Drosophila melanogaster: one gene and its partners. The protein of the gene in region 1 interacts with the protein of each later gene in a pairwise test. Each region holds a gene or a part of one and is shown on either strand. Other genes may lie near its edges.

Evidence for each region.
Region 2: the proteins of Archease (region 1) and mei-217 interact in a two-hybrid assay, tested with the Drosophila melanogaster proteins (one large-scale study listed by BioGRID).
Region 3: the proteins of Archease (region 1) and CG13043 interact in a two-hybrid assay, tested with the Drosophila melanogaster proteins (one large-scale study listed by BioGRID).

What each region holds. Positions count from the first base shown.
Region 1 is NT_033777.3:21,659,241-21,666,280, reverse strand, and holds Archease (archease), read left to right. Parts: upstream 1-3,308; 5' UTR 3,309-3,416; coding exon 3,417-3,471; intron 3,472-3,537; coding exon 3,538-3,562; intron 3,563-4,061; coding exon 4,062-4,452; 3' UTR 4,453-5,095; downstream 5,096-7,040. Other genes in the region: Jhbp16 (juvenile hormone binding protein 16), read right to left, coding at 1-28, 145-442, 493-703. UniProt on the Drosophila melanogaster protein: Component of the tRNA-splicing ligase complex required to facilitate the enzymatic turnover of catalytic subunit RtcB.
Region 2 is NC_004354.4:17,135,373-17,145,945, forward strand, and holds mei-217 (meiotic 217), read right to left. Parts: upstream 7,619-10,573; 5' UTR 7,492-7,618; coding exon 7,430-7,491; exon of another isoform or gene 7,336-7,429; coding exon 6,895-7,335; exon of another isoform or gene 6,390-6,894; coding exon 6,322-6,389; intron 6,223-6,321; exon of another isoform or gene 6,110-6,222; coding exon 5,954-6,109; intron 5,832-5,953; coding exon 5,719-5,831; coding exon of another isoform or gene 5,607-5,718; intron 5,544-5,606; coding exon of another isoform or gene 4,004-5,543; intron 3,940-4,003; coding exon of another isoform or gene 2,606-3,939; intron 2,550-2,605; coding exon of another isoform or gene 2,317-2,549; intron 2,025-2,316; coding exon of another isoform or gene 1,705-2,024; 3' UTR 1,206-1,704; downstream 1-1,205. Other genes in the region: mei-218 (meiotic 218), read right to left, coding at 1,705-2,024, 2,317-2,549, 2,606-3,939, 4,004-5,543, 5,607-5,740; RpS5a (ribosomal protein S5a), read right to left, coding at 8,331-8,399, 9,246-9,344, 9,644-9,760.
Region 3 is NT_037436.4:16,302,748-16,308,430, forward strand, and holds CG13043 (uncharacterized protein), read right to left. Parts: upstream 3,124-5,683; 5' UTR 3,045-3,123; coding exon 2,598-3,044; 3' UTR 2,478-2,597; downstream 1-2,477. Other genes in the region: CG13044 (uncharacterized protein), read right to left, coding at 1-289, 355-366; CG43249 (uncharacterized protein), read left to right, coding at 1,553-1,573, 1,631-1,843; CG13063 (uncharacterized protein), read left to right, coding at 3,900-3,911, 3,974-4,351; CG13042 (uncharacterized protein), read right to left, coding at 5,251-5,592, 5,657-5,668.

The DNA of each region.
Region 1 (7,040 bases):
GCCGATGCGCCTAACGCTGGTGGTTTGACTGAGGAAGTAAATAAAGTGAGCGATAGGTTGTCATGTAAGCCAAAAGCTATCAACAATACTGGTGTTTGCAACACAGCTTGGGAAATACATATTTCCATGCAACTCGGTGCCCACCTGTAATCGTAGAGGGTGAGGTTCCAGTGGCCTTTTCTGTTCATCTCAGTACCCAGCATCTTGGCGGCGAACTCGTACTCGCCCTCCAGACTTTTGTCGGGGAAATACTGAGTGTAGACGATGCGCTGGTCCTCTGGATCGGCATGGAACTTGGTCACCTCGGATCGCGCCCATCCGTACTCGGATACATTGCGCAATATCAGACGAAAGCTGCCCAGACCCTGTGATTCACCTCGTCGCAGCTCAACGTAGCTACAGTGGTGCGGGTCAAAGGGCTTGATGTTGTAGTCGGGCACACCTGAAAGAGTTGCTCCATGATTGCTCGCCCGTAATCCACATCTCACTCACCTGTTGTGAAGTAGGCCCTTAGGTCGTTAAACACCTGCCGCATGCACTCGTTGAAATCCTCGTCCGACCAGTGGCAACGACCCAGCAAGTGCTTCAGATCCGTATCCACGTCGATTTGGCTGGACGCGTTTGCCAAGTGGTTGGCAAAGAGCGAAATCCCCGCCAGGTAAACCAGAAGGCGAGCACAGTTTGAGAGCGACTGTTGCGACATGCTCGTGGTTTCAGTTTAACAGCAACTGTTTGTCTTCTGTTAATTTCAAAGGTAAATGTACGTTATGTTTTTATTGTCTTTATTGTTTTGAGTAAACTGATTTTGTGGGCGTGAAGAGCAACCGGTGTTTGTTGTTTAAAGTGTCCTTGTCTTTTGCATACAGTTGATCGTCTACTGAGTTGTTATTAGTTAGTTAGTTATTTTTTCTTTTATTGATTTATAAGTAGTTTATGGTGCTTTTTAAGTTCCTTGATTTCAGGTAAATTTCAATAAGTTAGGAATATGAAAGGCATTAGATAGGCATACAAAATTAAGCAAAAAAATGTATCGCTGAAAGTATATGTTAGCCATCGGTTAGTTGTTGAATCTTCATTACTACGAAAAATGTATTTGATTTAGTAATTGTTAAATACTTTTGTATAGAGTTGTAATTTTTCCAAGATAGTAGTTGTACAGTTATCATACGAATTTTATATTTGCATGAAACTTAAAGACTTATTATTATAATTGCCATCGTAAAGACTTCTCCTAGCACCGAAAATAAAAGACACTTCTTTCTCATCGCAAGCTATTCAAACAGCCTCATCTTCATGTAGTTCGTTTTGTAATCTTTTTGTTCGCCGCATGCACTTGACCCCTTTAACTTAAGCTCACCGACTATTACTGGGCTGAGTACTGCAGCAAATAGATAGCGTAAAAAGAAAACTACAAACATGACAAAATCGTGCGTTAGTATGGAAGCATGGTAACAGTGGTAAACGAAAGACTTCAACAAGACACAAACTTGGGGGTGCGAACAACTTTTAAATCCACTTAGAGGCGGCAGCCAGTCATGCAACGCGAGAGCAACAACGTATGATAATATTTGGCAATTCTTCAGTTTAGCGGTTGCATTTGCAACCAAGTTGACCAACGGTCAGTTATTTAACAAAACAAGTTACCTAGCTACTTAGTTTAGTTGAGTTTTCCGAACTCCCGAGCTTTAGTTTCACTTCCAGGCAATTTACTTCTGGTTGTTCCAAATATATAGTGTAGCCAAATATGAAATTCTGGAACTCGTACGCAAAGGCGCGCAAATATTCGAGAATAATAATAGCTTTACAGTTATTTGCGCCGAATACGCGACGTGAATCAGGCGAGCTCCCGTAGCCAACTGAACCACTCGAAGACGTAGGAAACCAGAGAAAAAGAGCTTCCACCAAAAGTGGCAGCAGCAGCCAAATGAGCCATAATAAAAAAAAAACCACAAAAATAGCAGGAAAATGTTTGAAAGCCATAATATGGCCGGGCACAAAATTGAGCTTTGTCAACTCGGCTTAGAGTTTGACACCCCCAAGTCGCGTTTCCTCATGTGCAAAATGAACAAAATTGAACAAAACGGTCGTAAATCACCAGCAGAAATCATTCATAAATTCCTTTAGAAATGCGTAGAATCATTTAATTGACCGAGATGCGCACTAACTGATAACCATTACTTAGCAAGTTATTATTAATATTATTTCATATAATTTTATAGCATGTTTGATAATAATTCATATTAATGTCCCAAAAGGTGAACAAAAAGTAAATACAAAATTCATTTGAAATAATACAAACACTTTAACTATAAAATAACTTTTCATTTCTCTTAACACACTAAATATTTCTTGAACTTTACATCAACGAGTTGAACGACCTTAGAAATAAATATTTCCTTCGCTGTCTATTTCAAACAATAACCCATCACCGCTGGTTGAAAAGTGATCTGAATTTAATGAGGCAATATTTATTAGACAATCCCATGTCCGTCAATGGGTATTATTCAAGTATGAAATCAAGTACTCACAGCCAGCGCTCAAGTTCATGGGATTGAATAAATCAAGCGACGTGATTGACAATCGTAACGATTGACGGCAATGCTGCCGGTAGGCCAGAAGAAGATTTTGTGGACTGTTTCTTTTGGCAAATGAAAATACAAGGTTGCAGCTTCAGTTGTTATGGCTGATTGCGATTTAATGAAAGGACAAGGTCGCTCTTACAGAAATTCAAAACTGGGCTGAAAACATGCGCCAGCACTTTGTAGCACTTTAAGTGCGATAACAAATGGTGGGCATAAACTGGAAATTCTGCTTTAATTTTGCTCAAAATTACTTAATTTTATTACAATCACAGCCTTTAGCACAATTTTATTTCTTTCGTTCTGTAACGTTTTTAGATATATTTTTTTTAACTAAAAGGGCCGTGGGAAGCATTTTGTAAACACTTTATTAAAGGAGGAAGCATTATTTTTATTTTTCTTCTCTTCTGATGTTGGAATCCTTCCCATTTGACATGCATATTTAAATTACAAGTTTTTTAAATTACAAAGTTAAAAATAAATGAAGCCTTTAGGTATTTTTAGATATTTTTAACAATTTCGAATTTAAAAGCTTGATAGAAACTTTTATCTTATAATTCAATCTTTATAATTTATAGTTTACTCTTTATTAAATAAAACCCAAATATTTCTTACAAACAATTTTATACATTTTATTAAAATTTGTATGTTAACATTTCCCGGTTTGAGCTCAGTATTTTCTGTAATTTGTATGTTAACAATTTCTTATTGGAGCTCGGTATATTCCTTTCAGTAGGTATTTTCCCCTGCGCATAGATGGTCACACTAAGCGGTTGCTGGTTTGTTTATAGTTTTTGTCCGCGAATTTTACTTTAACTTTAGCTATAACTAACAATAATGGAGGTGGAATTCAGTAGGGAGAACTTCCTGCTGCCGGAGATGAAGTACGAGTGTGAGTAGTTCTTCGATTTGCAGGAGAATAATCTGTTGCTAAATATTTCATCACATTGCGTTGCAGACCTGGATCACACGGCGGATGTTCAGTGAGTAAGATAACAACAAAAACAACAAGTGTGCCCGTTAGCCATGTGGAGTAGGGTGGTTCGCTATTTGTGAATGAAAAATCCAGATGATCGTATAAACTAGATTCTAATAAGCGCTTTCGTATTAGAATTTGAGATATAGCAAACATTCTGAAAAAGAATTTATTTTAATTTATACATATTTTAAAGCCATTATAATTTTTCATATTTTCCCAAACCTATGTATTATGTTCATAGTTAGGGAATACGGCTTTTTAAACGTCAAATGTATCTGCTTTTTTGAAGATTATATGTAATGCAAGTTTTTTCTGACTTTTATATTATACTACTATCGCTTAAAACAACAAGACTATTATTAAGTAGTAGATCATAAATAATTCTTTTACTACGCCACTAAAAGGCAGCAGTTTTGTATATAAATTATAACTTACGGCTACAATAGACATAATTAATTTACTTAATATAAACGGATGATGTTGGAATCCTTCCCATTTGACAGAATCCACGGATGGGGATCGTCGCTGAAAGAGGCGTTCGAACAGTGCGGAGTGGCCATGTTTGGATATATGACCGAACTGGATTACGTGTCCGTGGAGCAGTGCTTTGAAATCGAAGCGCATGGAGATGATCTGGAGAGCTTACTCTTTCACTTTCTGGACGAGCTGCTGTTCCTGTTCTCTGCCGAACCGTATCTGGTGTGCAAGAAGCTGGAGATCACCAAGTTCGATGTGGAAAACTTCGAGATTTCCTGCCATTGTTACGGGGAACCATTTGAGCTGGGGAAACATCCGCAGGGCACCGAAGTGAAGGCAATCACATACTCGGCCATGCAAATCATTCAGGACGTGGAGGCCAGCAACTACGAGGTGTTCGTGATAATTGACATTTGATCCAGCGGCGATCGCCGGGAATTAAATGTGACTGTTCTGTTTCAACCCCTTTGCCTGTCTCCATTAATCATAAGTGAAATGCCAAAAAACGATATAAAAACCGCTGCATAAGCCCCGAAAAATTTGCAATCTCTCGTGCTGCGACTGCATCCCTTGTCGATGAGGATGACTTATCAAGAAACCACTCGATTGTGCGGCTGCAAATGCAATTAGGACTGGCTTCCTTCTCACCGGTCTGATTCCGGAATCAAGATTTACCCTTTTGCCTTCGAATTTTTTGTGTACTATTCACTTTTTTTTTGCCCACTGCTTTGTGAATTGGCAACGTGTTGAATTCCCAGACAAATGCCGAATTTGTTGTCCTTTCCCAGGCCCCAGTTCAATGCACTTTTTATTCGGCAGCCTTCAGGAGTTGCTGACGCGTTGGGTTGCATTAAAGAATTAAGTTGTACTTCTTTTTGGGGAGTCATGTCGAATAGGGCAGTTAACAATGCAAGTCAAGGCCATAGTTTTAATGTTATGATTGACTTGATTTGTTCGACATAAAGTATAGAGAATGCGGGGCCTAAAAACACAAACATATTTTTTTATCAACAATAATTTAGTTCAATGAATGTAAATCGTAATAAATATCTATACGATTAAGCAATCCCTAATTCTAAATATCAATCCACGACGATATCAACAAATATTAACGCTTTTCAAAAAACCGATTTCCTTTGAATAACGCGCTATTCTCGAATCAGTATTATTCGGATGATTTTCGCGTGAGCCGATGTTATTTAGTGGCCGATGAGCGAAGTCAGCTGGTAACACCGAGCGATTTGTTTTGAAACAGCTGACCGCACCGTCAAAACCCAGAAAGTAAACAACAAAAAAAACATTTGCCGGGCAACGTCGCCCAACATATGGGCCCGTTCTTGTATTTGTGTGGGTGCGTGCGTGCACGAGTATGATGATTTTTCCTTGGAACATCGGGCGAAGAACGGCGAACTGAAAAATATACGCTTTTACAGCTGATTGATATTAAAAAAAAAGCAACGCTGCGGTCGACGAGCCATACGAATGAGCGTGCGAAAGAACAAACAAAGTATGAAGGCAAATAGCCCGCGGACACACACGCACACACAAACGGCCAGTTGGTCGATTCGCTTTTAGCTTTCAGCTTTTCGAGTGCGTCAAAGTTAAAGTGGCTGAAAAACTTGGTAAAAGTACCAATCGCCAAACTGACTACAAGACAACAGTTATTCGCGGTTATATTTGGCGGAAAGTGGGTGGCACACACGTCAGTCGCCCGTACCGCTGTTTGTTGTTGTGTTTGCTGTTGCTTTCCAATTCGCCCCGCCAATTCGCCGCACCGCTCATTCTTTCTGCAGCCACCAATTGTCATGGTGTTAAAGTGAAGAGGAAGCAGCAGCCCGTGAGCACATTGTGCGCTAGTTGTTGCCGTTTTACACCCAGAAATCGCGGAGATATCGCCCTGAAAGCCCAACCAATTGACAGGTGACGATCTCACCTATAATTTGCGATCAAAAACACAAAGCTAACCCAAGGGGAACCTAGTGAAAAACGTGGCCGAAAAATCCATACGAAGGCGGAATGGAAAAAATGTGGTAGGTAGTACTAGAAGTAGAGAATGTGACATGTGTGTGTGTGTGCATGGTTGTGCGTGTGTGTGGGGGGTGCTGCGCTGGGCATTTTCTTTATAACAGCGGGCCGCAAGCGAAACAAAAAACAACTGTTTTTGGGCGTGCGCCCAAAACGCCGGCTAAAAAAGTACATATGCAAAAAATTGCATGCCGGTCCAGCTGACATATCACCTGCATCAAGAATAAGACGTATGATGTGAGTAAAGTGTCGCGGGCGGGGGGAAGAGACAACCAAGGGTGCTGTATGATAATGCGCACTTTATATAATTGCAGCTACCTGCCATCTCTAATGTTTCGTGCTTCTATCTGTATGCGTATATGGGTGTGTGGGTGTGCGGGTGTGCAGGTGGGTGGCAAATGGCTAACGGACTTCTGTCAAATTCCAATTCATGGGATCTCCGCGCTGACGTCACTAAGATTTCATTTGCAAACATTTCAATTTGATTTATCTCAAGTGTAAAGTCGAGTTTTAGACTACAGTGAGCACCCCAAAAGCAAGAAAAAGTGATTGGTTTCAATTGGTTTAAAAATTTCATATGTTCTAAGAATATAAAAATGCCCACATCTCTCTAGATTTCAATCAAAAACTACAGTGCTCTTTCCTAAAAGGTCGCCCAGTACTTAATTGTTAGTAATGTGTAAAAACCCCATATTTTTTTTATGTCAGATATTACTATCGTTTAAATTCATAAATATATTAAGCAACAAATGTAGTATTTTATCCACATTTTTCTGTTTACAAAAGTTTTTATCCACAATTGTCGGTGGCTATAAAAATATAATAGGCAATTTCCAACTCATTTGATTTCTTAGCATCAGTAACTTTATCGTTGCATAAATAAACACAGCGCTGATTAAACAAGAGAGAACGCTTCGAACGTCGAGTCACTCGACTATTAGATACCCCGTTACTTAGCTATTGGAAGAGAGGGGAAGAAA
Region 2 (10,573 bases), on another chromosome or scaffold:
ACGTATTTTTTAGACCTAAAAATTATGTATATACATTTTACTTTGTCATATTGTAGTTAAGAACTATTTTTATGTCTAGATTTAGAAACGATTGTAAGTCAAAAACAGTCCCATGCTACTAACACCGCCATTCTAAAACCTAATCATACAACAGATTTTGAAATTCTTGCTTATTAGGACGGCCTGGTATCAAAGGCAAGCATCTATATGATCGCATATATATCATAAACCCTAGAATATAGCAATAAACGTATACAAATTGTATAACGATTTAAAAGTAACTACCAAAATGACTCTTGAACACTTGAAGTTTCATCGTGAATTTACCCAATAACGTTATAATATTGTATGCCTATCTATTATATTTTATGAAAAATATACCATATATTTTGATAAATGTATAATTGGTACAATCCAATCGAGAGATAGGGGGGTCAAATTATTTGCCCATCGCTACGCGTAAGACTAAAACTGAACGATTTGCTCAGGCAGCTGGAAAGGATAATCAAAAGCAAGAGAATAACTGAGAAACACTAAACTAATAATAACAATAATTATGTATAAATATATGTGTAACAATACAAGGTAGTTAATAAAAAGAATTGTTTTTTTAAATAAACAAATGATTTTTATTCGATTCGAAACGGAAGTATTCAGAGTATTCTTAACATTTTGTTGACTTTACATAGTTAACGTAGTCAACAAAGTAATTGAGCGTTCTGCATTTAAAAACAATTAAATTTGTTTGACATTCTTTTATTTATTTACTTACTAACTTTCTTGGTGTCCATTTCTTAATTATTGTTAAGTTACATTTATTCACAGCCTGTTTCAGGTTTTCTGTGGAAATATTGTCTTTTATCATAAAATCCAAAAAAAAAAACTATTTGACTATTCTTGGCATTTAGGTTTAATTCTTATTAACAAAAAAATTAAAGTACTACTTTTTTTATAAGTAGATAGTTTTCCTTGGACTTGAAGTTGAGAAAAAAAATCCAAAATTCTCCAAAAAGTAAACACTTCTTACCATATATTTTTAAAAATATCTATGGCATCCTTATTTTATGTACTATAACTTTTGTAAAGTATTCCTGATGTCCCCGACGTAATGTAACTATTTTATGTATTGTTAACAATTCATTTCAGGTGTAAGCATATTCTGTGGAAATATGGTTTTTATAAAAAACAAAACTATATAGATTCTTGGCCACACATTTAATTTTAATACTTGTCCCAAAAACAATTTTACAAGTACATAGCTTCCAAAAAATTAGCAAAAACATCGTTGATTAGCGATTAACAACGGTACAAGATTATTCCAAAATTTTCCTGATTTTCGCGAATTAAATTTTTAAAACTATCCGCGATTAGCTTGCGATATACACAAAACATATATCGAATGAATCAAAAGATACTGAATGTGGAGGAGATGGGGGATGTATGTATGTGTCGGCTATGTGTGAATGCTTACAAATATAGTCTTCGTTTTTGAACGCTTCAGGTGTTGTTTGTGTAGTAGAGAATGGCTAGGGTGTAGTATCTAGTGGCTATAGTGCCGATTTTGTTTACAAACACATGTGCTGTAAATTTATCTGTATAAAACTACAAAAGGTATTCAAAATTGGTCCAGTGTGCGATGGTTATAAATCTACGAGTAATGCCAAATCAATGCCAAGTTGGTCTATAGGGATCTATGCCAGGCGTTTAGGGCATGTCCCAGCTATCTGTGCGCCGCCTCTTATCCGCGTGCATCCCCAGCTCCTCGTCCTCGTAGCTATTCAGATACTGAAGTAACCAGCGTGTAAACTTGTTCATGTACGGATCGATGCAGGAGATCACATTGAAATTGAAGACCGCCGGCGGTGCCTGGTTTTCTTTGGCCCCGAAAATGCCCTGCACGAAATGCTCGCAGTGAAAGATGGCCACACAAACGTCCGATTCAAGGACCTCCAGCCGCAGCGCCAGCTTGGCAAAGCACTCAGCTAATTGCTTCAGCACTATATAGGTCTTGCTAGAGAAGACATCTGGAAATGAGCGGGATGGAAAACGTTAGTTGCCATCGATTAGAGGAGCACAAAATAGTAACAAAAGTTGTAAATAGTATTTCAAGTTTCGAAAATAATTAACAATTTGACTCTGTTAATTGTTCTCGAAACATGCTAAATGCGAAACATTACTAAAGTCAGTTTGGATGAGATCTGTTTGAATTGTGATTGTTGTTGTGTTTGTTGATCTGTGTTTCATAAAGCCGTACTGACACGACCCTTCGCTTTGAAGCTAGGAAGACGATTTGCTGCTTAATGGAATTAGACTTACTCGGTCGCTCTTTCCTGGAGATCACATAATACTTTTGCAGCATATGCTGAGCGCCATCGGTTAAGGTGGTCTTGCGCTGATGCAACAGATGTATAAGCATGCGCATATCGTCCTCGGGAATGCTCAAGCCATCGTTGACTACAATTTGACCCTCAGCGTTGTGCTTCTGAATTATAGAGTTCCAGAGACTATTGCTGGCCTGAGCACCCATATAAATTGGCAGCCCGAAGATTCTGCAAATTAGGTTAACTTAATATACAAGCGTAATTTCTAGTTTTGTCCACCTTACGGGCACAGTTTGGCGAGGGCCAGTGTTTGATTGGTGGAGTTGTTCGGCTGCCAGTAAGTCCAAACGGCTGCCTTTAAGGGCTGATCGATGTGCAACTGCGGAACTGGGACCGCTCCATTTTCGATGCACTTTTCCAGCTGGCATCCCTGATCCTTGGACAGACGATTCCAATCGCCGGCGTAGTAAACTCCCTGTTGTGCCAATAGTAAAGGACTGGCCACTATCCAATTAAAGCGCGTGGGCAGGGCATTGAAAGTGGGCTGCAGTCCGTATTCGTGGGGTCCCAGGAAACGTGGTGCCAGTTGGCCCACTTTGTTAAGTAGACGGTTGGCCATCAGGCTGTCGGTGGCGATTATGCATAGCGAAATTGGAGCCCGCACCTCATCAGATTCGATTGAAACGATACTGGCCAGCAGTATCATCTTCAGGTACACAAAGCAATCCATAGGCACACAGTCCTGACTGATCTGAGCACTTAGGGCGTAGACAAAGGAGTAGTCAGAATACTGCGATGAGATCAAGTGATGTAGTTTCTTGATGCTGGACGGCACGCAGTTTAGATCCGGCTTGGGATATTCTTGGCCGTGCTGTGATGGGGCTCGAAATATCATATGACGCTCGAGTGGTGGTCCTGCGTCCTTAGCGAGGTACGCGTTTTCCTCGCCGTGTTCGTCGGCGACGACCTGGTTCTCCGACTGGAAACTCGGGGGCTCTATCTCCGACTCCCACTGCCATTCCTGGTCCTGTTGCTCCGGCTGGGTTTCCTCCTGATCCATATCCAACAGAGGCCTGCTGTACATTAGGTCCTCGTCCTGGTGGATGCATGATTCCCACAAGTGTTGCTGGTGCTGGTTCTCCACCGGCGGCGAACTGAGAGTATGCGATAACTGGGTGGGCCCGGAAATGCTGGATGGGAGGCGGCTGGAGCTCATATGCTGGATGGGGGGTGGCGAACTGGTAAATATATCCATATTGGTGGTGCCAACCCCTGTACACGGGAGACTGGCTAGCCGAAAAACCGACTGGCTGACACTGTTGCTTTGGATTTCAACCGGAATTTGTGGTGACGAGTTGCTCCATATAATTCCCGACTGCTGATCAAAATAGAACACGGGCGGCAGATTGCCGGTGGCACTCACCTCGATCATTGCCGGTGGTACAATGGCTTCGATCGGTGTGTCGACTGTCTGTCGTGGTGGACATGGCTGATCATCTATCTCAGAGGTGTATTCGAGTATTGGTTCTGGGGCGCTGTCAGGATTTGGTAGTTGCTCGCGTGGGTTATTTTTTTTCGCGTGCAAAGAGCGCGTAAAACGCTGTCGACAGCGTCTTTGCTGTAATTGTCCAATATAGAAAGGGTTATCTAATGAGGATTAAACTTACGGTGCAGTAACTTACGCTCAATCTAGACACTTTGTGGGTTAGATGGGATTCTCCGGTAGGGTGGAACTCCTTAGCATTTGAGTTCAAAACGCTGCCCATAGCCAATTTTCGCATGTGGCTGCTCGCATGGATTTCTGGTGAGCTTTTCACCTGGCGCGGTTTCTCCTGTTGCTGGTACGGCACCACCTCTTTTTCCGGCGTTTTCCCTGAAGATCCCTCAAGCAAGGACTCTGTAAACTCTCGACTTACCGCCTGCAGACTGCGCACCATCCGGGGGTTGTGATTGCGACGTGGGAATCTCCTCTGCCTTCTCTCACTTTGATTAGGCGTCGGCGGCATAACATCCTCGTCCTCATTGTGGACAACACTGGGACCCGAAGATTGAGTGGTCTGCTGTCTGGGCGCAATGCGGATTGGTGCCGAAGAATTGTTTGTAACTGAAGCTCTCTTCGCAGGGCTCCTTGAGTGCAAGTAAATGAGCTCGGTAGGTCTCTCTGATTGCGACTGAGTATGATTAACAGGGTTCATCTGCTGCTGAACAGAAGTTTTCGGACAATTCTGAAGAATCTTTGGCTTCTGCTGCTGTTGTTGTTTCCAAGAGTGCTGAATGCCAGGAGACTTCTGATTGTTTTGGCTCCTTTCATTATTGGCAGGACTCTTCTGTTGCTGCTGTTGGAATTTGCTGGGAGAATTTTCAGAACTCTTCTGCTGTAAAGAACTGGCAGAACTCTTCTGATGATGCGAGGAATTGACCCAACTCCTTTGCTTCTGTATGAAATTGACCGAACTCCTCTGCTGCTGTGAAGAATTGACCCAACTCTTCCGCTTCTGTAAGGAATGGACCGAACTATTCTGCTGCTGTAAGGAACTGGCAGAACTGTTTTGCTGCTGTAAAGAATTGGCGGAAGCCATCTGCTGCATGTTAGTAAAACCGACAGAACTCTTCTGCTGCTCCTTTGGAGAGTTAGGTGTTTTCTGCTGATGCTCGACAGAATTAGCCGGACTTGTCTCCTCCTGTTGGGATTTAGCTGGAGTATTCTGCTCCTGTTGGATATTCTTCTCACCCGGAGAGGACTGGGCAGAACTTTTTGGCGTCAGCGGCTGTACTGAATCTTTACTCAGCAGTGTTATATTGGTCGAAGAAGAGCAACGTGCCTGGTCGCTTAAAGACTTTTGGCTGTCGCTAGGACGTACTGACGACAGCCAAGTGGTCACCGATTGATGATTGCTGTTGCTCGATTTCGGAAGCATGAAATCCGGCAAAAAGTTACCCAGCACAGGCGGATCTTTTACGCGACTAAAACGACTGGCAAGGCACGAAACAGTGCCGCCGTCATCTTGATTACGCACCCGCGGCGTTCGTTGTTTGAATCTCTTCGGGCGCTGGCCCAAATCAGGATACTCTTCGGCACTCACAACAAAGCTACGATCAGGCTTAGTGACTTCTTTAGATAAGCGCCAGACGTTAACATTTGGTTTGTAGACACCGGCCTTCGGTGTGGGAGTCATAATAGGCGTCACATCGCTTTCGACCAGGCCATTCGATGGTATGGTGCTGGGCATTGGGGGATACATTAATATATTTGCTTATTATAATGGTGTAAATAGAATATTCTACCCTATGGAGCTTGTGTTGGCATTTTGAGTAACTTCACGAACTTCACCATCGTCATCGTTGCGCAAGAAAACATTAAGCTGGAGGGGAATGTGCCTACGAGGGTCCTTTTTCTCTAGTTTATTCGTAGATGACATGCTTCCAGTTGATATGTGCTGGCTGAGCTCGCAAAGTATCCAGTGATTAGGTAGCTAGCACCCAACTTTAATTCGCAGTCGTGGGCGTGGGCTAAGAAATGTTGTTAATATTATGATTATTCATGATAGTGACATCCAAATGAGTATGTCCTAGTTTACCAGGCATATTTAATTTCACGTGTTTATGATGTCCTGAATACCAGATTCACTTACCTCTAAGGCGAACTAATTTTGGGCGATGAAGGCAATTGGTGACACGAGGTGTCTGAACTGCCGAAATAGGCAAGACAGCCAAGATACGATAGGTTTCCGTGACGCGCAGCTTTTGGTATTCACTCATGGGCCGCGAGCAGCTCGAACAAAAGGGTGCTGAAAGATATCAAGAAGATGGATTAGCAATGGAGCTGGCACAGGATCTCGTGAACAAGGAATGCTGGGTTAGATAACATTTTGTTAGACAGGGTTCCGAGGGTTGTGAGTATGGCTAGAGGTTAGAGGTTGTTAGTTAGAGGTTGTTGGCTGTGCCACAATTTGGATAAAGTGCACGTTGTTTCTTTATGTTCCTAGCCTATGGGACCTACCATCTGTTGAGCTGGTCTGTATGGCATTTCGCATACAGCCACTGCCGCAGTACCAGATCGATTGTAGGCTACAATGGAATATCAGGATATAAATTACACATATTATCAAAGATTGGTACACCCTAGCAGAGCAGCTGTGTGTTTTATAATTAATATGTTTAGAAACAGATATTGCCTAAAGCATAAGAAAATAATACATGCAATAGACAAATAATAAATACCATTAACCCACTTAAATAAAAAATAACGATAATACGATCCATGCTTTTTTAACTTTAACAACAATGAACATTCATAGAAAGTTAATGGGATATAGATATACTTCTTTTGTAGGTTGGTATTTACACTTAAGAGACTAAGCTTAAAACCCTCTTGAACTAAACCAAAAAGGGTAAACCAGCTTGGCTAGCTTGGTTAGTTAAGAACTATAACTATAATTAATCAGGCATGACAGGATACATAGTACCCAAACATAACCAAATCGAATAAGAAAAATGTGGAAAAAGCACACCAAAGCAAACTAGGGGAACATTGCAATTCTCTGCCAGGACATGTACAAACTGTAAAACTGACACCAGTGTTTCTTGCGGCGTGAAAGCGGCTAGGATGCCCCGGATCTGGGACAAGCCCAGCCGGGTCAACTGGTCCCGCGGCTCGAACTGCAGGCCCGGCGTAAAGGGCAGTCCCACCAGGCGCCAGTGGGCGTGCAGCTGGTTGATATCGATGGGCTTCAGGCCAGCGTCCTTGAGATGTGAGCGGATCAAGCCATAAACCGAGTAGCGGACCGCTTCTTGAAACTGCAGCGGTTCCTCGACGATGAGCTGCAGTAGTTGCGGTGAGATATCGAGTAGTTGCCGGTATTCGAAGTCCAGGCGCAGCTGGATGGGGGCCAGCAGGTCCTCTGGCCGCCGGGAGCTCATATAGTTCGCCACAAAGCGGCCAGAGGAGACCTGGACCAGCTTGAGCAGCTGCGTCTGCCGGCAAAAGTGCTCAACCAACTTCTGATCGTGGAATCTGTATTGTATATTAGCATTTCGTGTTTTATGTCTTTAGGAGCCTGCGAAAATAAATGCGCCCTGTTTTTTAACCAGGATTACCGTGCACTTACTGGCTTTTTAATGGAGTCTCGTTTACAACTGATGATCCTTCGCTTGCATCCACTGTGAACATTATACACTAATCCAGAAATGTGAACTTATTTCAATCCGACCTACTACCAAAGAATTTTAAAATGAAGTGTTTGACTAAGGAAAAATTGGAATTAAAACCGATTGCGATATGAAGTGTACCTATCGAGCCCTGATTTAAATCGATACTGAAGTTTTTCGATCGGGTAATGTGTGACTTAGATTTTAAATGTCGTTAAATGACTAATGACTAGCCTCCTACAATAAATGGATCTTTTGTTGCTTTGGCATAGAGTTCTTCAAAAGCGAAGAATAGAATATATAAATGTAGAATTTAAGGGCTTAAAACAATCGGAGTATTGTAAACTGTTGCCAGCTTTCCAATACATTTATTTTAGAAAAGTGATGCCAGATCGATGGAGTATCGCAACTATCTATAGATTTTATACACTAAAAAAACCGTATTTTAGTGATCTATCGTGAGTAGTTAGAGAAATATCTATGAAAGAAATTGTATCAATATCGATAAAAAAAACTTTTTAAAGTTTCAATTTGTTTAAACCATGTAATTTACTTTAATTTTTTAGCTAAATTTCATTTCAATATTTTTAGCTATTCCAAGCAAGACAATTTCACGTTTTACTCACGCTTAACCTCACATATTTCTGACACCAGCAGCCCGATAGAAAATAGCTAAAATATCCGTTCTTCTCTGACAACCAAGTTTATTATAAACTAAAAACTATAAAAAAAGAATGGTCTGAAGTGAATTTTTCATCTTGTTGTTTATTTTAGTTTTAGTGTATCATTTCTCAGTGTACACACGTTATTTGTATAAAAAAAAACAGACAGAAGTTTGTTTTTGCTGGTGATGATGTCTCCTTAACGGTTGGACTTGGCGACACGCTCCAACTCATCCTTCTTCTTGATGGCGTACGAGTTGGAAGATCCCTGGAAATACATTTAAACACAAGTTATTAGTATTGGCTATCAATGTTTTTCTAGATCTTTTATATGTTAATTGCGCTGTTATGTTACTGTTACTGCATTGTATGGATTCATCGCTTCTAAATAAATAAATATAAAAAAACAAGTCCCTAACTTATTTAAAGCTAGTGTTCCTTTACGTTTCTCATGTGCATTGAACTAAGCAATATTACAAGCACAAGGATAATAAAGGATGGAAATTAATCTGGTCCAAAAGCGAGACTACATAATTAAACCACCATGCAGAATTAGATTGGACCTATTATTAAGCTCTATATACCAACTCTTAAATAGTTTGCTAATGTTCTTTTACGTTTCTCGTGTGCATTAGACTGATATTGTCACAAGCACAAGGATAATAAAGGATGGTGATTGTTCTGGTCCAAAAGCGAGACTACATAATTAAACCACTATGCAGAATTAGATTGGACCCCCGCTATCCTAATCGAATCAGTTCCTAAATGCTAATTCATAAAAGTGTTCTTTTACGTTTCTCGTGTGCATAGGACAGTTAAGTGGTCACTAGCACAAGGATAATAAGAGATTTGGAGTTTGATCTGGTCCAAAAGCGAGACTACATAAATAAACCATGATGCAGAATTAGATTGGACTAGTTGAAATGACTAGCTGTGTCACTAGAAGGAAGAAAAGAGCTATTTCGAAGCTCAATTCTTGGGTTAATCCGAGTGCCGAACGTGGTTCTCGATCTGGTCTACAAGCGAGGCCAGGCATTTTGGTAGTACAATGCCAAGCATTAGAGTAGACCACCCCATTCCCACTTTGATCTCGCCACAAGCCCAATTTACCCACCTTAGCAGCGTTGATCAGCTCATCAGCCAGGCACTCGGCGATGGTCTTGATGTTCCTGAAGGCAGCCTCACGAGCTCCAGTGCACAGCAGCCAGATAGCCTAAAGGAAATATACGGAAAAAAATTAATTAAGTAACTTTATGAACGCAATCACAGCAGCGTAAGAATTTGGGGTTCTTATCGTTAGTAAAATGAAAGTGTGTTATGCAATTGATAATGTCTCTTCGTTTCATACGCCAAATGTCGGCTATACTACACATTATGACGCTACGGATATTAGATAGATTTTCGTTCTGGCCAAGTGTTATAAGCAAGCAGTCTCTAAACGAACCACAAGCCATTGCTACCGGCCACCGTGAGCACATGCATCTGGAAGGCAAATCTTCAGAAGAAACCCACCTGGTTGACGCGACGCAGGGGCGACACATCGACGGCCTGGCGACGGACGGTACCGGCACGTCCAATACGGGTGGAGTCCTCACGGGGTCCCGAGTTGATGATGGCGCTGACCAGGATCTGCAAAGAGGTCACAAAAAAAAATCGAAATGAGTAAGCTATCACTTGATCCACTCGAAGCACCAAAGTAGAATTTTTGCTGTTGATTTATTGCTTTATTAAGGTTGCATTTTTGAGGCCATGCCCTTAAGAGGAATAGCTAATCATGGGGTTTATTGTGGTCCAATTGAATACCACAACGCTGTAGGGATCAACGCTGCAGTTTTAGTTTTGGACGGATAATGATACCCTTGGTGAATAATGCTTAACTTTAGTGTTGTTTTAATTTCCAGGAGAGCAGGAAGTGGCTTATATCTTCAGGCACAAGGATAGTTAAAACAATTTCAATTGATATTAGTCCATTTTTGGTTATGCTCAGTATGGCATCGTATTTTTAAGCCATCTGGCATTGAGGTGGACTGACACGCGGTTTCTGAGAATAGGTTTTTGTTGATTTATGCTTTATTAAGGTTGCATTTTTGAGGCCATGCCCTTAAGAGGAATAGCTAATCATGGGGTTTATTATGGTCCAGTTGAATACCACAACCCTGTAAGGATCAACGCTGCAGTTTTAGTTTTGGACGGATAATGATACCCTTGGTGAATAATGCTTAACTTTAGTGTTGTTTTAATTTCCAGGAGAGCAGGAAGTGGCTTATATCTTCAAGCACAAGGATAGTTAAAACAATTTCAATTGATATTAGTCCATTTTTGGTTATGCTCAGTATGGCATCGTATTTTTAAGCCATCTGGCATTGAGGTGGACTGACACGCGGTTTCTGAGAATAGGATTTTGTTGATTTATGCTTTATTAAGATTGCATTTTTGAGGCCA
Region 3 (5,683 bases), on another chromosome or scaffold:
CGGGAGCCAAAGTCTTCACAATGGGTGCGGCGGCCAACACGGGAGCGGAGTGGACAGCGGTGGTCTTGACCACGGGAGCCACCACATCCTCCACCACGGGGGTGCTGTGCACCTGGGTCAGGCTCTGGTGGGACACGGCGGTGGGCACGCTCTTCACAACAGCACCCACTTTGGCCAGAACGGGCTCCTGGACGACGGTGGTGGTGGCGGGAGCGCTGTAGACCAGAGGAGCAGCAGCCAGGTGACCGGGCTTGGCGGCGGCCACGGCCAAAAGAGCAGCGAGAACGAACTGGAGACGAGAATAAGAGTTAGTATTCCAAAGTGGTGCCATATGGATATCCCTGCGATCCTTACCAATTTGAACATATTGGTGTGGTGTTGGCTTCTTCGACTGGTGTCGCTGGATAGGGAGACAGACTTCGAATGTGTTGAGCTGAGGGACTGTCAACGTCTTTTATACTTGAACTTCACATTTTACACACACACGCACTTCGCCGGCTTTTGTCAATTGAGGCGGATACAATAAGCCATAAGTCGAACGTGCCTGAACGGATTCTGGCCGCTTGTCTCGGGTCTTGGCCATAAACCAGATTATTATTCGTGGCCAATTTCTGTTCGGCTCGCTCGCCTCCTCAACCGAGTTTGCCCCTTTCCCACTACTCATTACTTCACTTATTTTCGGCCTCGCACTTGTTTGCCATACCCACTCTTGATTTCATTTCACAACTCGGAGCTCATTAGTCGCACGTACTCACCTGAAGATCGATTTCTGGTGCGGAGGGAGAACCAAGGGTCCGAGATTACTTCTAATTGGAAACCAATCGTAATCGCTTCCGACCCAATTCAAGGCCAAGTTTATAATGACAGGAAAACACTTTCGCTTGGCTTACTCGCATTTACTTAAATTCCAAGAATTCGCAATGATTTTTGCTTGATTAAAATGGTCATTCAAAACAGTAGTGAGTAAAAGCTACAGAAAGAACGCTATAGTATATTTACTCGACTATTAGATACCCGCTTATCAGCTAGTGGGAATGCGAACGAGAAAGTTCAACAACCTCTTTGATTATTAAATGAAAATTTTAACAGTTTTTTCAAAACTGTGGGTGTGGCGTCTTTTTACAACGTGGGTCAACAAATGTATATGTCTCTGGAATCTGCATACTTAATCTCAACTTTCTACCTTTTATCCCGAAATCCCGCGGGAGCCCGAAAGGCCCCGCCAGAAATCCCGCTAGAGATCCCGGCACGTTTCGCCAAATCCCGCCATATATGTACTGCTTGTAAACTTTTTTGTAGGAAGAAAATGGATTTAGATATATATGTACAGTTTTGTTGACCATTTTTAAACCTAATCCGACCACTGAAGTGTTGCTTTCCTCCAAGTAAACTGTCTGTGTTTATTTTTCTATTCCGTAAAATTGTGACTGCACCTGTCCAGAACATCCAGAACACTCGTATTGAAGAATTGAACAGAATTTGGTATATAAATGCGTAGAATTTTAATAATGCACCAGTGATTGCATTTAACCCGCCGTTGATAACACTACAAATGGATTACCTGTTGAAAGCGGTAAGAAAATATAGAAAATATTCATAAAAATACTCTGTTAAATGGATTTCTTTCTAGATATTTGTTCTAATCCTTCTGAGCATCCACTGCACCAATGGATATGTTAATGGCCGCCACGAGATAGTCAGAAGGGAGGTGAACGTGACAGAGGTGGATCGCGGATTGAGTGGAGCACTAACCATGTTTTTCCAGCCCCTTGCTGATTTTGCTGCCAAGTTAAAGATGGAGATACCCATGATTACACACTTCCGCACCAAACATTTTAACTAATGTATTGTTTTAATTGTAAAAAAAGTGATTTAAAATGTTTTTAGCCTGTATTATTAAAAACGTTTAAATCAGAGGTACAATGACTTTTAGAAATGCCCTTGAAGAGGGCTAATGGTTCGTTGAGTTCACTGCCCGAAAATGTCAGCAATTCCCAACCAGCGGGATGCCCACGCTGTCACCCAGCTAATTTTCACCCACATATGTGGCGTTTTTCCGACATATGGGTGTCCAATATTTACCCACGGCACAGGTGCAGCAGGATGTAAGTAGATACGTGACACAGGGCATTGAACCAGGACACTTTTAGTACACCAAGCGAGCTAAGACCAAGTCCACACGCGCCGGAAAATGTTTAAAAAAAAAGTCTAAATTCACGTCAAAATGTCAACATTTCGCCTAACATTTTGAATTTCAAGACAAAGTAAATCAGCCCCGAATTTCATTATATATTTACCAAGAACAATGAGTTCCACAGTTAATTTACTTTTTCAGTTCTAGTACCTTTGTATTAGTATATATATTTCATCTATATATTAGTGATAAAAGCTATTTGTTACTATCATCTGTTTAGACTCTTTAGGAACTACAGGAAGATAAATGACCCGCAGGGTGAAGAAAACAACTTGCACGATTTCAAAGCAAAACATTTATTTATTTAAAATTCGTATCACAAAACCGTCCAGCGATGCACATGCATCCTGGTCACCTGTCAACAGTGAGAGGAGTAGGATTCGGAGTGGGCCTGGCCATGGATTTACCACACACCAGTGGCGGTGTAGGTCAGCGGCGAGGAGGCGGCCACTTGGGCGTAGGATGTGGCCAGAACGGGAGCGGCGGCGGCGTAGGATGTGTGAACAACGGGAGCAGGAGCAGCGTAACTGGTGTGGACAACGGGAGCAGCGGCATAGGAGGTGTGAACCACTGGAGCGGCAGCAGCATAGCTGACCACCGGAGTGGACTTCACCACGGGAGCAACGACATCCTCGACAACATGAGCGTGACTGTGCACCACCGACTGGCTCTGGTGGCTGACGGCAGTGGGTACGCTCTTGACCACGGCTCCCACCTTGGCCAGAACGGGCTCCTGGACGATGGTCGTCGCTGCTGGGGCAGCGTAGACCAGCGGGGAGGACTCCAACAGGTGACCGGGACGGGCAGCGGCTACAGCGAGCAGAGCAGACAATACCACCAACTTGAACATTTTGGAAATGGGTTAGGTCTGTATTGACTGTTTGGAATTGGGAGTGATCGGTTTGAGTTTCTTGCGAGAACTGTTGCCGTTTGCCGGGCTGCATCTATCTTTTTATACAGCAGCCATTTGGCTTTGACCTTCCGGCTCACAAAAGTGCGTCACAATTCGGACCGAAGTCATACCCATATCAGATTCTGGCCAACGATCAATAAGCAATTAGCGTCGGTGGACGGCTCAGCGGAGACAAGCGAACTACTTGTTCGGGTACTCGGAAATGTGATACACAGAGAAAAAAAGTGATCGTATTATGATAAATATTTCATATCATTGCGTCTTTAATTTGAACACATTCTTTATATACTTTGGAGTTTTAAGTATAGTGATATTTTTTTAATATTTTAAATTAAATAATAGATCACTCCTCACTTATTGCCTCACTTATTTCTTCTGTGTAAAACTGATCCGAATCACAGCCATTAGCCCCTTGACTGCCATTAGATACAGTGATTCCTCGGCGACTGCATTACTTGCACTTTGGGGGCGTGAGTCAGGGTCAACTTGCAGTGCGTGAGCTTTTTGGTTTTGGGCTACGGGTTTTTGGGATTTTGGGTCTCACAGTGACCAAATGCAAGTCTCATGTTTTATTGTGCCGGCGAGGGCAGATTTATACAACTCATTTGGTTTTGACTGCCCTCTGCTCTGCTCGTAAATGTTTTAATTAAACCACTCTTTCTTCGCCTTGCAGCCGCGTCGTGAACATCCATTTTTAACCATATATAAGGCGGCACTTGCGGTTGTCAAATTATCAGTCAACTTGTTCGCTTCAGCAGCACAACACAGACCAAGAAACAAAAATCCTTAAACATGTTCAAATTGGTAAGTTACAAAATTTATCACAGCATTATATCATCAATTAATCCTCCAACTCTCTTGTCCAGGTGGTGTTGTCTGCTCTCCTCGCCGTAGCTGTCGCTCGTCCCGGTCATCTTTATGAGTCTCCTCTGGTTTATGCCGCTCCAGCTGCCACAACCGTTGTCCAGGAGCGCTCTCTGGCCAAGGTGGGTTCTGTGGTCAGCAGCATTCCCACATCGGTCTCCCACCAGAGCCAGTCGGTGGTGCACAGCCACTCGCATGTAGTGGAGGACATCGTGGCCCCGGTGGTGAAGTCCACTCCGGTGGTCAGCTATGCTGCAGCTGCCCCAGTGGTGCATACCGCCTATGCTGCCGCTCCCGTTGTCCACACCAGCTATGCCGCCCCGGTGGTGCACACCTCCTATGCCGCCGCTTCTCCGGTTGTCTACAACTCCAGCTGGTAATCGAAAGACTAGACCTTTGGGGACTCATCCCAGCGAACTGGACGGTTAGAAAATAGCGATTCCTATTGTACATAATTGAGTTTAATTGCGAGTAAAATGTGATTGTTAAAAAATTGACATTTGTTTTGATTGGGAAATTACTATAGTGCTGTAGCCATACTTACAAAAATACAGCTACAATTTGAAAATTTGGGCTTTAAATGCCTTTTTAAATTGAAGATACAAATTAATATAATATAATATAATATACATATATTATATATATAATATATAATTATATATATAATATAAGTTCACATTTCTTATAGTTGTAGATTACTACTGAAAAAAAATTGGATTACTAAACAAAACTTGTTTTGAGTTGAAGATTAATTGATCTTACATAGTGCCTGAAATTTGGAATTTTTTTAAACAGTCATCAATTTCTATGTTATATTCAGATAGAATTAATTCATTAAGGATATACTATTGTTCATATATGTACTACTATAAATGGTATAAGTAGAGTATTGAAAGCATAATTTAAACAACGAACAATAAACAATAATTGCTTGATAACGATTTAGAATAAAGTACTATCCAAGATAAATTTCAAAACACGTATAAACATCAAGCAACCAAATCGTGATAGATAAGAACTACCAGCCACATAAGTTAAGGTAAAAGCACTGATACCGAGTTCTTATCTAACTTCTAGTGAACTGGTAGCATAAAGTGTTTTTCCATTAAGAAATATGCCACAGAATTATTTTGAGCATGAAACATGGATTTATTTACATCAGTCGAAATGTGAAAGAAGAAAAACAAAACAGCAGGGTTGAGAGTTTAAGCATGGGATCGAGGTGAGGGTAAGCCAAAGTTGCTAGCCCACGCAATGCCATCCAGGACCTCCATCACATTTACCAGGACGGAGCCCAGCCATGGCCAGCCCAACCATGTCCGGCCCACGGAGACGAGAGGAGGGTCGTGTGGAGGGCAGGAGCCGCATAAGTCTTGATGATGGGAGCGGCATAGGTCTTCACCACCGGAGCCACAATCGGTTGGATGATGTGGGCCGAGCTGTGCACCTGGCTGATGCTCTGGTGGGAGACGGCACTGGGCACGGTCTTGATGATGGCGCCCACCTTGGCCAGAGCCGGTTCATGGATGATGGCAGGAGCGGCATAGCTGTGGAGCAGTGGACCAGACTCCAAATAACCCGGACGGGCAGCCACGACGGCGAGCAGAGCGAAGAACACCACCTTTTCGATGAAAATTATAGCATTAGGTCCAGAATCATGTGACTTGGCCATAGGGTAGACTCACCAACTTGTACATTTTGCTAATCCTTGC